Lytechinus pictus: one gene and its partner. The protein of the gene in region 1 interacts with the protein of each later gene in a biochemical or structural test. Links are inferred from orthologs where the notes say so. Each region holds a gene or a part of one and is shown on either strand. Other genes may lie near its edges.

Region 1 (7,403 bases):
TGTCGTTCGATATTTCTCCACTTCGGATGCACTTCGAAAGTTTTGAACATGAGCAAAACATTCGGGACGGTCACAAGAATGGACCCGAATGTCTGGAATGCACTCAGAATGCAGTCAGAATTTTTAGAATGCGCTTCGAATATCCAGGAATGTACCAAGAATTTTCATTCCGACGGCATTCCGGCTCATTCCGCCTCTAGTGTGACGGGGGTTTTACTCGAGCAACATATGGAATCTATGTCATAGGCCCTAGGCCTATAGCTGTCAAGCCCAGAAACCATAACATCTCAAGGTCGTCATACTCTAGTCTAGTCTCAATCTTCCAATTTCTCGCCTATCAATTTGTGTAGTTCTGAAAATGACTGTAAAACGGTATCAGGGGAGTGTTTCATCATGTCCATGGTTTCATCAATATTTTCACCGACAAGTTGTCAGATCTGACATCTTTCCATGATTTTGATTGGCTGGGAGGCACTGTTCCTATGGTAACTGTCGGATAAAACGTCCGACAAGTCCTTTCATGAAACGCCCCCCAGGACAACTACCCCCCGGACAATTACCCCCGGACAACTACCCCCGGACAATTACCCCCGGACAACTACCCCCCCGGACAATTACCCCCTAGACAAAGGGCAAATTTTTAAGTGCTCTGTTTAATGTCCGTTTTATGGTGTGAATATAACTTGCAGCTTGCGCTATGCGCTCGCATTATTTGATTTGCCAAATTATATAACAAACTACTTAAAACCCCCCTTTTATGACAGTTTACCAAAAATTTCGTCTCACGATTTGCGCTCGCATTTTTGTTAAAAATATATCAAGTCACAAATCCTATTCAAGATTACAAAAGTGCTTAAAATATCCAGTTTTCAGGCCTCAGTGTCAACACATTTTACTCACTCATTTAGGCTTATTACATTAATAAATATGATAATAACATTTTCATGAATTCTTAATGACTACATTGTCCCTTTTCAGAAAAGAATATCGACAATATCACAGTTTCATATGTTTCATATCGCGCTCAGGAAGAGGAATAAGAAAGTTGTCATCATTTTCATATGATGACGAAATGTCCTTAGACCTAGAATGTCCAGGTCCTAGGTCAAAATAATAATGAAGATATCAGCTCGCGCTTCACACTCGCATCATTTATTAAGTGCTTTCCACATCCACTTCACAATTTCCCTACACAATGCTTTAGATAGTACTCAAATTCACCATTTTCATACCGGAACATCAAGTATTTTCCGCTCGCGCTTCGCGCTCGCATTGCTTTTTCGATGAGATTAATATCTTGCTCAATATAGGCTGAAATGGAGCTTAAAATATCAAGTTTCGAAGTCAATACACATAACATATTTCATCTCGGATATCGAGCTTTCATTATTTTTAAATTTACAAATTGATTTTTCAAGTGCTCTGTAAAATGTCCGTTTTATGGTCTAAATATTAATATTTTCAGCTCACGCTGCTCGGTCGCATTATTTTATTTGCATAGGCCTACTTCTTTATAAATTCTTACAAACCGTCCTTAAAATGCACCTTAAACGAATTATATACTATCATGATTGCCAATTTGTATAGAAAAAACACTGTATTTGATTATGTCATATTGTTTACAATTTAGTAAATTTGGTACTTAATTTCCTTCTTTAATGTTTAATTGCTTTCACCCAAGAATAATACACACAAAAACATTTTGTAATTTACCAGGTGTTCTTGTGTGTATTATCTTTGCATAAAGTTTTTTAGCTTACTGTATTAAGTTATAAAGCCACATCTTAATCTGGAATGTGCACCAATTGTTTCATAATTCTTAACTTCTTGTTAGTTGAACTGTTTTAAAATAACAGATTTATAGGTCTACTTGACAGTGTTAGTGTTGATAGTTGTGTTATCGACTTTCAATATTTCTACCTATGAAGGTGTCTTTTTTACGTTTTATCTATTTGCCTGATTTCTTTCCTGAAATTAAACCCAAAATAAATATTTAAAAAAAATCAGATCAGTTGGAATCAGAGATATTCAGCATTTGTGATTATTATAACTAATCGTGTTCAATTGTTATATGAAAACTTAGAATGAGGGCCAGTTTACAAATTTTCTGATGTATATATGCATAGCCAAACGGGAGGTTTCGGGTGCGAGCCCCCCCCCCCCCCATTTTTCATGATGCAGAAGGCGCCGCTAAACAAAAACAAAAAAGGAAAAAAGAAGAAAGTGAGAGAACAGGAGAAAGAGCAATATAAAAGAGAAAGAAAAAGTTATTAACGTAAGGTAAAGTAGAAAATATTTCGGAAACCTGTGCCACCGACCAAAACTTACAATGGGTCCTGCTTAATTCTAAAATTGATGCTGGAGAGAAGGGGGGATTTTCTGAAGGTAATTGTCCGGGGGGTAGTTGTCCGGGGGGTAATTGTCCAGGGGGTAGTTGTCCGGGGGTAATTGTCCCGGGGGTAATTGTCCGGGGGTAGTTGTCCGGGGGGTAGTTGTCCGGGGGGTAGTTGTCCGGGGGTAGTTGTCCGGGGGGTAGTTGTCCGGGGGGGGGTAGTTGTCTGGGGGGTAGTTGTCCGGGGGGGGGGGGTAGTTGTCCGGGGAGGTAGTTGTCCGGGGGTACGTAGTTGTCCGGGGGTACGTAGTTGTCCGGGGGGTAGTTGTCCGGGGGTAATTGTCCGGGGGGTAATTGTCCTCGGGGGGTAGTTGTCCTCGGGGGGGGGGTAATTGTCCGGGGGGTAATTGTCCTCAGGGGGGAATTGTCCGGGGGGTAGTTTTCCGGGGGGTGATTGTCCAGGGGGTAGTTGTCCTAGAACCCTGTAAAACAGAAAAGGATAAAGAGTTAAAGAGGCTTGAGTTGTTGGATTATTGGATAAAATAATGTCGTCCGTGTATGTAAATGTACATAAATAAATGTTTCTGAAAGGATATTGCATGAAAAATGTAATTTCTGGTATTTTGAGTCAATATAAGCGTAATACGTAATTTAATTGATCAGACATGAAAACCACATTCCGAAGCGATCGTTTTGCGCGAAAGTTCTCATAAATTAATATTTAGTGAAATCTATGTTTAATTCTCAAGAAATTTATTTTTGAATGCTCTAATTATAGAAACGCAACTTTTATACTCCATTTTTACACAAAGTCGACCGTTGGGGGGGGTCCCACACCCTCTCCCGCTCGATCGCTTCGGTATCTCACGCTGTCAAAAATATTGTGCCCCCTTCCGAAGGGGGCACAATATTTTTGCCCCCCTAAAAGTGAAAGTGTTCCGGCACGCCTGATGCGTGGTAGCGCACATTTGGTGTTTACATTAAAATTCGTTTGGTAATATGTGATGAAGTGCTGTTCTACTCTACGAAATGGCCAAGATAAATCCTTTCATTACTCACTAATTGAAATCATTTTGGCATGACAATTGTTGAATTTAATCATATCAACGATAAAGCTGACCTAAAATGAATAAAAAATCTAAATAATATCTTATCAGTTCATAATGCTCATTCCGTCGATATATAGGAGTCCATTCAAGGCCAATGCATTATGACTGATATTAACTGGAAAGGCTCTGTCTTTTCCTTGTTGATGTAGCATATGTCATGATCTTTACCTCAGTCATTTTACCTCTGCCATTTTTACCTCTGCCATTATTACCTCTGCCATTTTACCTCTGCCATTTTTACCTCTGACAATATACCTCTGCCCCCCCCCCCGGGGGGGGGGGTACTCGACCAAAAAATTGGTAGGTGTGTGCCGCCGGCGAGACAAAAACCGGGGGCCTTGGAGCGGACTTATTGTAAAAAGGAGGGTCCTCGGAACGGGCTTTTGAACTACAAATGCTTGTGAAAACGGGGGTCCTTAATGGAACGGGTCATTTTTACCTATGCCATTTTTACCTCTGCCATTTATGCCTGGCACCAAGTTTTGAGGGGGCCATGCAGATATGGCGTATCGGGCAAAATGTATAAAAAGTTGCAAGTGAGCTAGCACAAATTTCGATATTTCAGTATTACAAATTATTATGATCGACTTTGACATTGGCCCTAAGTCAGAAAATATTTCACCCTTCCCTCTTTTTTTTTCTTGCATGGTCGTGTTTTTTTTTAACCCTAACCCTTCCCCTCCCCCTTAATCTCAACTGTACGCTAGCGTACTACTACATGATACATCTATTTTGAAAAGAAAACAAATATAGATGAACAAAGCAAGTTGAAACGAGTCGTTTCCAAGACTTGGCCGGATCATCCGGGCATTTTTTAGACCACGCGCATGCGCTCTGAAAAAAGTTCGATACTTAGCCATTTTTCTGCGATCCTCATCCGCCATAACGTGGAAATTGGTTAGACAAAGAATCACCAAAATGAGTTCGGTAAGTTCGCACATTTTACTCTATTTTGTGGTGTTAGTGTCATAGCGTGAATTGGAATATTAGTGTATGTGGATTGAGATGGTTTTTATGTGGAATCAGTGTGTTAATACGGCTGCCGCCTCTACATCACACATGTGTTAGTTTTTGTTCGAGGTCGAAAGGAACGCTTCGCCATTGAAATGCACACAGTTGTGCTTCGTACTTAGTTATTTTTGCGTTCGCCCTATATCATTGCACACAGGGCGATAAGCTCTCCGTACCGTACTTAGTAATTTTTTTGGCTTGCTCCATATGCTTTGTACATGAATGGCATGCGTGTGTATGGTGTGGTGTGTGCACGAAGTCGGCGGCTTGATCAACGTGACCGCTCTAATCTGTATGCCCGGTGTTTGGCCCATACGTCATTTGAGATGTTCCGCTTTTCACATGCTTTCTATGAACTGTACCAGTACCGGTACTGCACTGTGGAGTGGTGTGTGACGTAAATTTAAAGTGACATTCATGTCCAACTTGAAGATTTTAATTTGATGAATTCTAATGAATGTGAATAATATTTTTGAGTGCTGGTTGTGGTCTTCAAATATGAATGGTGAACCCATTACTGGCATTAGCATTACCATGTTGTTAAGTAAAAAACTTACCTTTTTTTAAAAGAAAGTCCTCAAATGAAATGGTGAAATTGAAAGAATTTAAAGATTTTATTTTATTTGTAACAGTTAAACAGTTCAAATTAAGTCTTCTTTTTACACTATTAAAGTTAGAATTTGGAGTCTTGGACTGGTAATGAATTAAGAATTGTTGACGTCTGATTGAAATCAATCACTGACCATTTTTTTTATGGAACAGATGTTGAGTTTGATTGTAAGTTTCTCAAATACATAGATCTATTCTACTACATGTACTACTACTAGATCTAGATCTGTCTTGTCAATTTCAAAATTTTTTTTTTTAATTTAAATATTATTTGCCTTTGCTTGATGGCTGATGTATTTTTTTTTTCCAATTATGGTTTTGTGACCTTAATTCGCGTGTTACAAATATACCTAATTTTGCGCACAGTCAAATATCTCAATATCTAATATCTTGAAAAACTGATATCAACAGCAACGGAAAGAGAGACCCAAAATCAGGGTTGGCAATTTTTTTTAATTAAAAAAAAAAATCAGATTTGTATGATTTAAATCAGATTTTTTTTTATTTAGGCCTACATAAAATAAGTCTAAATCAGATTTTTTTTTTTAACAATTTTTTTAAAAACAAAGTGCAAAAAATAAAAATACATTTCTAAAATCGTACATTTCACTACTAAAATTATTCTGAACTATTTAAAATTAAATCTAGTCAAAATAGATAAGAATATGTAAGTCGTAATGAAGATGCTGTTTTCAGCATCATCTCGTGTAGAGTATTTAGCTCCTACTGACTGGTAGTTGAGGAACCGTCTTCGTACAGCTATACTGCAAAGTTAGTGTTCCTATTCAAAACTCTTAACATGAAATGAGGATTAGTTTCTTTGGAAGAAACATTGCTACATTGCAAGATTAACTTCCATTTCATTTACTACTACTTGATTTCAAGTACGTAGATATGAAGGATTTATTCATGTTTTAATGATATAAAAAATCTGTCTATTTTGAGTAAAAAAAATCAAACTGGCACAAATAAAAAAAGTCATATCATTTGTACATGTTTCAATGGAAATCATGATTTAAAAATAAATAATTTCAACTTCTATCTGATACAAAATCTTACCTTTGTTCAGTTGATTTCTTTCTAAAGCTTTGCAAAACGATCATGCGCAAATTAAGGTCACACTTTTTTATGATAGTTTTTCAGCCGAGCGCATTAGTCGATCGCCATGGAATTTTCAGATCGCGATACCAGCAAAACCCTTGACCTACGGTACTTTATAATTCTGTCAAGTGAATTTGATCTTGCCTTCCATTTGGTATTTATTATTTTGATTAATTTTGTGTGAACTGAGAAATTTTTGATTGAAAATCAACTTTTTTAAATGTGCACAAATTATGGTTACCCTATCATATGTTTTATAATTTGGGGTTTTATTTTTAATTTATCTTTGACAAAACTGATAGAATTATAATTCATAAATTTGAATTATAACCTTAAATTTATAACCATTTGTTAGTCAGCAATCAACATGACTCACAATTAATTTCCAGAAAACCTTCACCTGAATTTTGTGGGGCCTGCATTCTTTTTATTTTTTTTTATTTTTTGCTAATTCCATGTATATTTGATATTTTTATTGTTTCCTTTGTTTTTATTTTCTTGTTACAGAAAGTGGACAAAATAAAGTCTGGTAAGTAAAAAAAGTATCATTTGTCCTTTGTTGATCATGAGAAAGTAACTTATAAATTATGAAATAAGACAATTTTATATACTGAATTTAAAATGATACCAATTTCATGACAATATATTTTGTTCATATGAGAACAAAACATGTGCATGTTTTTGCACATATATTATCTATGTTTAGCGTGTGCATGCTGTAAATTTTTATGGAGGCTAATTCCGTTATTATTTGTTGTAGAAGGTTGATCAAAGTATCAAATTGCTCAGAATTATCTTTTGATGCTTTGATCTGAAAAAAGTGGCAATTCTATGTTGTATAGTGCCGTTACGCACGCGCGCAATTTTTTGAAATGCTTAAAATGACATGATTCATACTCTACTTTGGTCAAAAAAGTGATTTTGAGCATTTTAAAATTTTGACGTGCGTGCATAACCTTTAAATGACCTTTGATGAAATGGACAGTTGACCCTTGACCTGAAGTTAATGTCATGAGAATATGGTTAATTTTTTATAATTGATAATGAAGATATGATTGATAATGTGATTTTACAAAATGGCATCATGATGACCTTTTGACCTTGAACTTGTTTTATAAACCTCACATGATAAGTCCCCATTACTGATGAAAATTTGAAGAAAATTGATGATGCAGATTTTGAGATTTTGTGCTATCAAGAAAAGGGCGGAAAAATAATATGTCGATCGACAGATCACCTAA
Region 2 (8,068 bases), about 49 Mb from region 1:
TTCAGAGAGTGTAGCCCTAATCATTTCACAGGGATATGATAAAAGGTGATATCAGTGAGGGAAATGATAATAATTAATATTAATAAGAATGGGGTCTTTATGAATTTAATGTAATAGTATTTGTATATTTTGGACTAGTTGAATATTTATGTTTTCTATCTTCATGTTCAGTAATGATAATGAGACAACATGGCTGAGTATCCATTCAATAGATCTATGAGAGAGGTACATGGTTGTGCTTACTTTGGAAGCAGAGATTAATATGGGAACCTCCATAAATAAGAACTAAATAAATGGGGGGGGGGGGATTGTCATTCCTTGTTTCTTTTGAAAATGGTCCGTTGAACAATTTACTTTGGCTAGGATGCAGAAAATCAAAACACTCTCTTGAAATTTAGAAAAGAATCCATTGTGTTGGTGCCCAATTTTTGATTGTGGGTTTAGATTTGATTTCTGTTTGATATGCTTTCTTTAGGACCAGTCAATGCTTTTTAATTGAAAGATGATGAGTCTTTGGATGTATGATGCTGGTCTCACAGTGAGCCTCAATGTTGATGTTTTTATTTATTTATTAATTTTTGAGCATTTAATTTTAGTCCATGTAATACATGTCTATAATAACTAACATTATTTGATTGTCTTCACTATGAAGGAATTGTGAATAAAGGGGTAATGAATGTGCAAGTAATCGAAGTGTTCTTAAACGCTGTATCAAAATGCCATTGAGTGGAAAGATATTGAATATATATTGATGATATTATTACTAGTATTTTACATACATTATTTCCTTAAGTTGTAACAATAGCTGTATATAAGCAAAATTAATACATTATATTTATTGCAATAAAGTGCATAGAGAATTATCTTGCTTAATACAAATACTTGTCTATTTATCGTAGGTGCTATTAAACAAAATTTAGTTTTGCTAACTGAGCAATATTAGTTAAAATTTACATCTGTAGCATTTAATTTTATTGCAATATTGAATTTGATATTGTCACTTGATGTTATTGTTGCTTAATTGCTATCTGTATTGAGCAATCTGCAGTGATTTGCTTTATATGATACTTGTGTAAGATATATGATAGGATATTGTTGTGGCATAGTAATCCTTTCCAGCAAGTCAATGTATTCTTGTATCATTTGATTTCGTATTGCCAAATTCTGACCCTGTGCTTTCTTTCTGTTCCTTCTACTTTTGCATTTACTTATGATAGTAAAATAAAATTCATTTTAAATATTCTTTTACTTATCCTTCATACATATATTTGCTTTTTTTTGTTCTCATCATGCAACATCTTTATTAGATTTTCCCCTATATTTTTACTTCAAAATTATTTCTAAATATCTTGTGACTGACTATTCTTTGATCCTAAATCATTTTGATTTCATTTTATTTCCCCCATAAACATCACAGCCTACACTTTTATTTTTGATTTATCAAGTTTATTTATTTTATTAAGTGTAATACCCAGAGACATTCATCATTTTAAAAAAATATACACCTGTATTATTTAATGCTTCTTTTGTACATTTTGGTAGTATGAAATTCTAGGTGTAATTTTTACTTTCTTAACATTAAAACAGCTGTTTTAATGATATATTGTGCTGAACCATATTTGTATATGTTTATCAAAGTAGGCTGTTAACTTTTAATATCCAGGCATTTATGAATTATTTTCTTATATTGGCACAATCTATAAATATTTTCAATCAATTGTAGTGAGAAATATGCATGTATAGTACGCAATTTCTTTTCCAGGTCAATCATATATGTTGCGAGTGAAGAATATTTTAGATAATTGGTGATATGTCCTTTGTACAACTCTAATATACTTTGTTATATGAGAGTGAGAGAAATTCAATTTTTCTCCATTGACTGAAATTAATTCATTTTTTTATTATGAATAATTTAAGATTCATCAGCCTGACGGTGAGGTGTCATAAAGTGGATGTTTGCTTGATCTTATTTTGATTATTCCGGTGTTGCCATTTGGTTTTACCTCTGTTGTTGCATGTTTGACCCCCTACATATGGGACATTCTTGAAATTATTACATGTTTTCTAGTTTGAATTATAATGGTTTTAAGTGCAGTTAAAGAGGAAAACTGGATTATACAAAAAGGTTGATTTTTTTTTTCTTGAATTTCCAACATTTAGAAAATTGATTTTATCAAAGTGTACTAATAAAAAAGGCCTCATTTATTGCATCAGCATCTTTTAATCAGTGTTTTAAAGGAAAATAAAACACAAAATGTGTCATGATTAGGCGATGGAAACTTCAAAATTACTGCTTTTATGCAGATTGATAAAATTTAAACCCTCAGAGGCACTTTTATATTCTTTTTAATAAAAAAATGTAGCAAAAATAGAAATATACCAATTTCAAGAATTAAAAAATTAGTAATCTTGTTCTGAATGGGTCACTGATGATAACATAATAAAGTTTATAAATTGTTGCAGATGGCGTGTTCTTACATAGATTTATGATTGTTTTATCAATCACAAGGATGGAAAGCCAATTGAATGGCATGAATCTAGAATGCACATGTCAGTTCAAAGTGTTTTTAAATACTCATGCATGCATCGTTATGTGAAAAATCCTTGTGCTCTTCGTTGTTTTTAAAAGGACAGATGTACATGTACATTTCCTATATGAAATTGATGGATTATCCATATTTTTCACTACTTTTAGAATGCGGACAACCTGGGGCCCGTCTTACAAAGAGTTGCGATTGATCCGATCAATCACAACTATGGACGGCCAGCAACGTCAACATCTAAAATGCATGAACGTTCAAAATGTTTTCTACATATGACGTAAATTTACATAAATTAATTGTTTTATTGACAATTTGGTATGTTCGCCTTTGTTTACAAAAGGACATTTTGAAAATTTTATGTAGAAAAAATTATGACACTGAAGAATTTCCATAGAGTTACGATTGATTGGATCAATCGTAACTCTTTGTATGAAGGGGCCCTGATCTTACAGTTTGTATCGATTAGGTTCGAGACCAACAACCTTACTTTTATCACCTTTCTAGTAGTAAGAATATCATGCGTCTATTGAGCTTCAATACCTCATATTTCTGCAACTGAAAAAGTGGCTGCATTTGTAACAAACAGTTTCAAGAGTCACATTTTTTTTAAAGATATACTATTGGTAAACAACTTGTGCTGTAAGCTGACATATTCTGCCATAGTTCTTAATGGCTTAACAAAACAGATACAATGAGTTATGAATAAACTGAATTTATTGCAAGTAAAGGGTTGGTAAAAGGAAAATTGTCACTAATATATTGGAACTAAGGCTTTATATGAGAGTAAATGTTATTTTAAAAATGGTATGTTATCATTAGGCCTATGCCTACTGTTTGATATAAAAAGGTTGTCACAAAATGATGGAAAGAATAGGCAAAGAAAGTCTCCTGACTAGGCTCTTTTGGATTTTAGAATAAGGGAATTGTGGTCTTTATTATATTTCTAGGAAATTAATGCCTATTTTTCCACACTGATAGATTTAGAGCATACTAGATTGATATACTTTCTTTGGTTACTTTTACCTGAAAGTTGATGCTGTAGGTAACAGAATGGGATAACAATTATGTCAACTTCTCATTGAGAGTTGTAGTGAAAAGTAATCCCAATGAAGAGCTCTTTAAATGCCTGTCATATGAATATTCAGAATTTGTGCCTTTCTGAATAGATTGAAAGATGAACTGTATTAAAAAATGTTATATACATGGAAATAATCAACTTTTAATCATATGACTTAAACAATATTTTAATAGAAAAAAGTCTGAAAACAAAGTAATTTTCAGGGTTTTTTGTTCTTTTGCTTTTCTCCCTTTATTTTTTTAAAGGTCAAATCCACTCCAGAAAATGTTGCTTTAGGAAATAGAGAAAAATCAAACTTGCATAACGCTGAAAATTTCATCAAAATCGGATGTAAAATAAAAAAGTTATGACATTTTAAAGTTTCCCTTATTTTTCACAAAACAGCAATAGTATGCAAAACTCAGTGACATGCAAATGAGACAGACGATGATGTCCCTCACCATTTCTTTTGTTATTTGAATTATACAACATTTTTTCTCTTTTACAGATTTGACAATTGATTGTTTCACTGATTTGTCAATGAGGAGAAAATAAGAACATTTCAGATATCATATAATAAAAAACAAAAGAAATAGTGAGTGGATGACGTCATCAGTCTCCTCATTTGCATATACCAACCAGGATGTGCATACAACTGTTTTTTTAAATTAAGTGAAACTTTTTTTTTATGTCAAAACTTTCTTATTTTACATCTGATTTTGATGACGTTTGCTTAATGTTTGGCTATGCTTGTTGGCTTTTCTCTTTTTATTCAAATCAGCTTTTTGTTGTGGTGGATCATACATAAATGTTTAGTCTTCAAAAGTAGCAAAAGTGAGAGAAAAAGAGAGGTGCAGGAAGAGAGAGAGGGGGGGGGGAGACAGTAGGTCCATGATAAAACTATAAAGAATAAGGGGGAGGGGCTTTTTTGTACAATCCTGCTTATGATTTTTTTCACATATGTGCAGCTAATGAGGATTCAATTGTAGTGTTGAAAATACAATTAAAAAAAATATCATTAAAACAAATTTATTATATAGGGATAACTTAATGTGTATCGGAACAGATTGTTTCATTTCTAAATTTGAAAAATGTTTGTATTAATAGACTATTCTCGACTTAGACTTCGACTTCATGTAAACACAAACCCGAAGTTTTCCGAGCTTAGCTTCGGATCGTCCTTCGGATCACATCGGCTATATATCGATCAAAATCGCGGCGTCGTTGTTTAACGTTACCTTTTTTTTATGCAGAGAGCCCATTCACCAGTCGCGAGGACAAGGGTAATTCAATTCACAATTTGTCGATTTTTGTGTGCACTGTTTATAATATCGTTGATTTCGCATACATATTTGCGAATCAAAGTTGTACTTATTATTACTGACATGGATGGTGGTTGGATGGTGATGACGGTACATGTAATTTACATGTATTTAGTGTGTTCGATAATGTTGCAACCTGATTTGAAATGCCTGAACTCGCAGTGCAGTGCATGCACGCGCGCACAGCATTGTATACCGCGTGCCTTAATTGTGTGTGGATCGAGATTGGAGCTGAGACTTTACTGAGTGAGAGCGAGATTTTTGTTTTGAAGTAATCTTTGTCATTCATTCACATAAAATTCATACATAATCAAGAAAATATAAAACAAACTTGCAGCTGTGATTATACACAAATCAAATTACACTGTGAACATAGAATAGCAGACAAATTGTAATTGTATCAGATTCAGAAGTTGACAGAACCATGACATGAGAACAGGGGGCCGTTTGTATGTAAGTTAAGCATGTTAAGACTTAAGTCTAAGACTAAGAGCGTCTGTAACTTAATTTATGAACGACTGGTGATCCTTTTGTACGCACTAAAAACTATCGCCAATGAATATACCATAAGAAAGGATCACTAGTCATTCTTAAAGCCGCTCTTGTCTTACTCTTACGAACAGCTTCATGAAACGCCCACCAGAGATAATCCGAAATCATGCAAAAATAACATTTCAACAACTTATGTATGCAGCTAAAGCAATTTTAAAAAAAGATGTAACGTAACAGCTATGCAAACTGAAAGGACTGAAACTGAAATATAAAAAATAATATCCATTTGCACTTATTTGAGTTATATTTAAGATTTTCAGTTATATTTGAGTTTTGAACCTATTCGATGATGGCGAGAGTCAGCGTGCGCTAATTAAGATATTTCTGAAAACCACGAAATTACGAGAAGCTGAATATTTTGGGTTGAATCTGTTTTGCAATCGGATTTGACTAATGTGAGTTAGCGTGAGGCTACGGCTACAAATGTAGATCGTATGACTGTGTAGGCCCTAAGCTATTAGTAAATGACTATTATTTGAGTTATACAAGTCGGGCCTAGTTACGATCCCATTTAATGGTTGCGAGAGTATGTGTGTTTATTTTTTAGTTCCGATCGAATGAAATAAGATGCAATGAATTTGACCGAGGCGAGTGTAAGTGCGAGTCTACTATTACTAAAAGTCTAAAACCAGACAGGCCTACATCATTCAGCTCACGCACGTGCTGTCCTGTCTGGACGTGTCTGGACTGAATCGTCCGATATATATTTGGTCACATTACACTCGCTACACCTTCAAATGGGATCGTACTTGGAATATTTTCATTTTCATGTCGGGTTTCTCCCCATTCCCCAAATTATAGCCAAGCTTATCATTTCTCAACTTCTGAAACATAATCACACTTCTAACAAAGATTCAAGACAAGATTTAATTACAGTAACAGTAACTAATCACTTACATTCATCACCAGTAAGTTTTACTGCAAAACACGTCAATTCACAACCGACCACATACTCGGCGGGCACACATCATAAACCTTTCTGGCACGATACCGCCTTATAAGTATTGTTGTTTACGTGATGATGGATATCAAAATTTATAGTGGATATGCCATTTAAACTGAAATAAAGGAAAATGTGTGTTTTGTAATTTATATATTAAATATTAATTCATGAAAGATTTTCAATTGACAATTATCATTCTTTCATAATTCTCATCATTCATCGCTATCATCTTCACCAATCTTGATAATCATTTAAAATCATTTTCACTAGCCATCACTCATCATCGTCATTCATTTCAGTTTCACTCTCATTATCATTCATCACAAAGTCCGCCATTATCAAATCACAAAAACAACATGACACACGCAATCAACATTTATTCCACGTTTTCAACTTTTCATAGTTTCAAAAATAATCATCTTCATTTGTAACCAAAGTTGGTGTGAGAAAAAGCAGAATTCATTTTGCACTTGATGAATAAATTACAAGAAACAACATGACACACGCAATCAACATTCATTCGACGTTTTCAACTTTTCATAGTTTCAAAAATAATCATCTTCATTGGTAACCAAAGTTGCTATGAGAAAAAGTAGAATTCATTTTGCATTTGATGAATAAATTACAAGAAACAACATGACACACCCGATTTACACGATCAACATTTATTTGACGCTTAAATGGTTTCAAATTATCTGCATTCTTCACTCGCATTGAAAGTCGAGGTAAGAAAATATACGATGAGTTACGCATTTGAAATCATCAAAACATAAGACGGGGAAAGAAAAACGATCTTAAGCGACACCATAGTAAAATAGCCATCGTTGTCAGAACGGAACTTTACTCCATTCACGGACGGTCATGCTCCAAAACTGATATAAGGTCATGTTTCAAAACTGATATAAAAATGATGGTTTTCGGCGGGAATATATTACCGAAGAAGATTAATTGATATTGGTGATTATATTGGCGACTAAAACTTATAAATTTTGTTGGTGAGTCTTACTAAATTTAATGAGTTTTTGTGACAGGAAAGTGGTGAATCAGTGTCCACGGATACCCGAACCTGAAAAATGAAAACCGTTATCCGTCCACGCGGGCGGAAACCGTTCGGATATCCGTATGGTGGCAGCACTATATGAGATAGCGATCGATCTTGTAACAAGTTTGGAACTAAAATTAAAATAAAAATTTTAGTATTGAGATTGTCCCAGAAAACAATCAGTCAATAGATTTTGAATCATGTACGGTATGCATTTCATAACTTCTCGCAGGCATAAGCATAATTCAGAGTTAGACCCTTGGCCTAACTTTTTAGTAATATTGAGATTATATTAGCGAACATCTGATGTTAAGACGGATGACGGCGAAAAACGCCGCTTAACTAGATCTACAGCATCTATGGAAAAGGGTGCGTTTTTGCACCCTCCTCGCTCAGATCTAGATCTACCCTTAAATTTTGCTTTTTTATGGGGAAAAGGAAGAAATAATCAAGATAAATTTATATCAAATACAATCGGCTTACCACTTTTCTGAAAAATATGCTGGAAAATCGTGAATTTTCATGACAAACAGATCGGGATCAGCCAGGACAAGTTCTTCTTCGATCGCCGTCAAGCTGAGCGTACGGATGCGCCAGCGGATTGGCTGT

Evidence for each region.
Region 2: the proteins of DNA topoisomerase I, mitochondrial-like (region 1) and serine/arginine-rich splicing factor 1B-like form a complex in vitro, tested with the Homo sapiens proteins (2 studies listed by BioGRID, with this or other methods). The link is inferred for Lytechinus pictus from reciprocal best matches to the Homo sapiens genes TOP1 and SRSF1.

Annotation. Positions count from the first base shown.
Region 1 is NC_087246.1:63,390,137-63,397,539, forward strand, and holds the start of DNA topoisomerase I, mitochondrial-like, read left to right. Parts: upstream 1-4,242; 5' UTR 4,243-4,359; coding exon 4,360-4,368; intron 4,369-6,669; coding exon 6,670-6,691; intron 6,692-7,403. UniProt on the Homo sapiens protein: Releases the supercoiling and torsional tension of DNA introduced during the DNA replication and transcription by transiently cleaving and rejoining one strand of the DNA duplex.
Region 2 is NC_087246.1:14,835,319-14,843,386, reverse strand, and holds the start of serine/arginine-rich splicing factor 1B-like, read left to right. Parts: upstream 1-4,784; 5' UTR 4,785-4,883; intron 4,884-4,954; exon of another isoform or gene 4,955-5,375; intron 5,376-8,068. UniProt on the Homo sapiens protein: Plays a role in preventing exon skipping, ensuring the accuracy of splicing and regulating alternative splicing.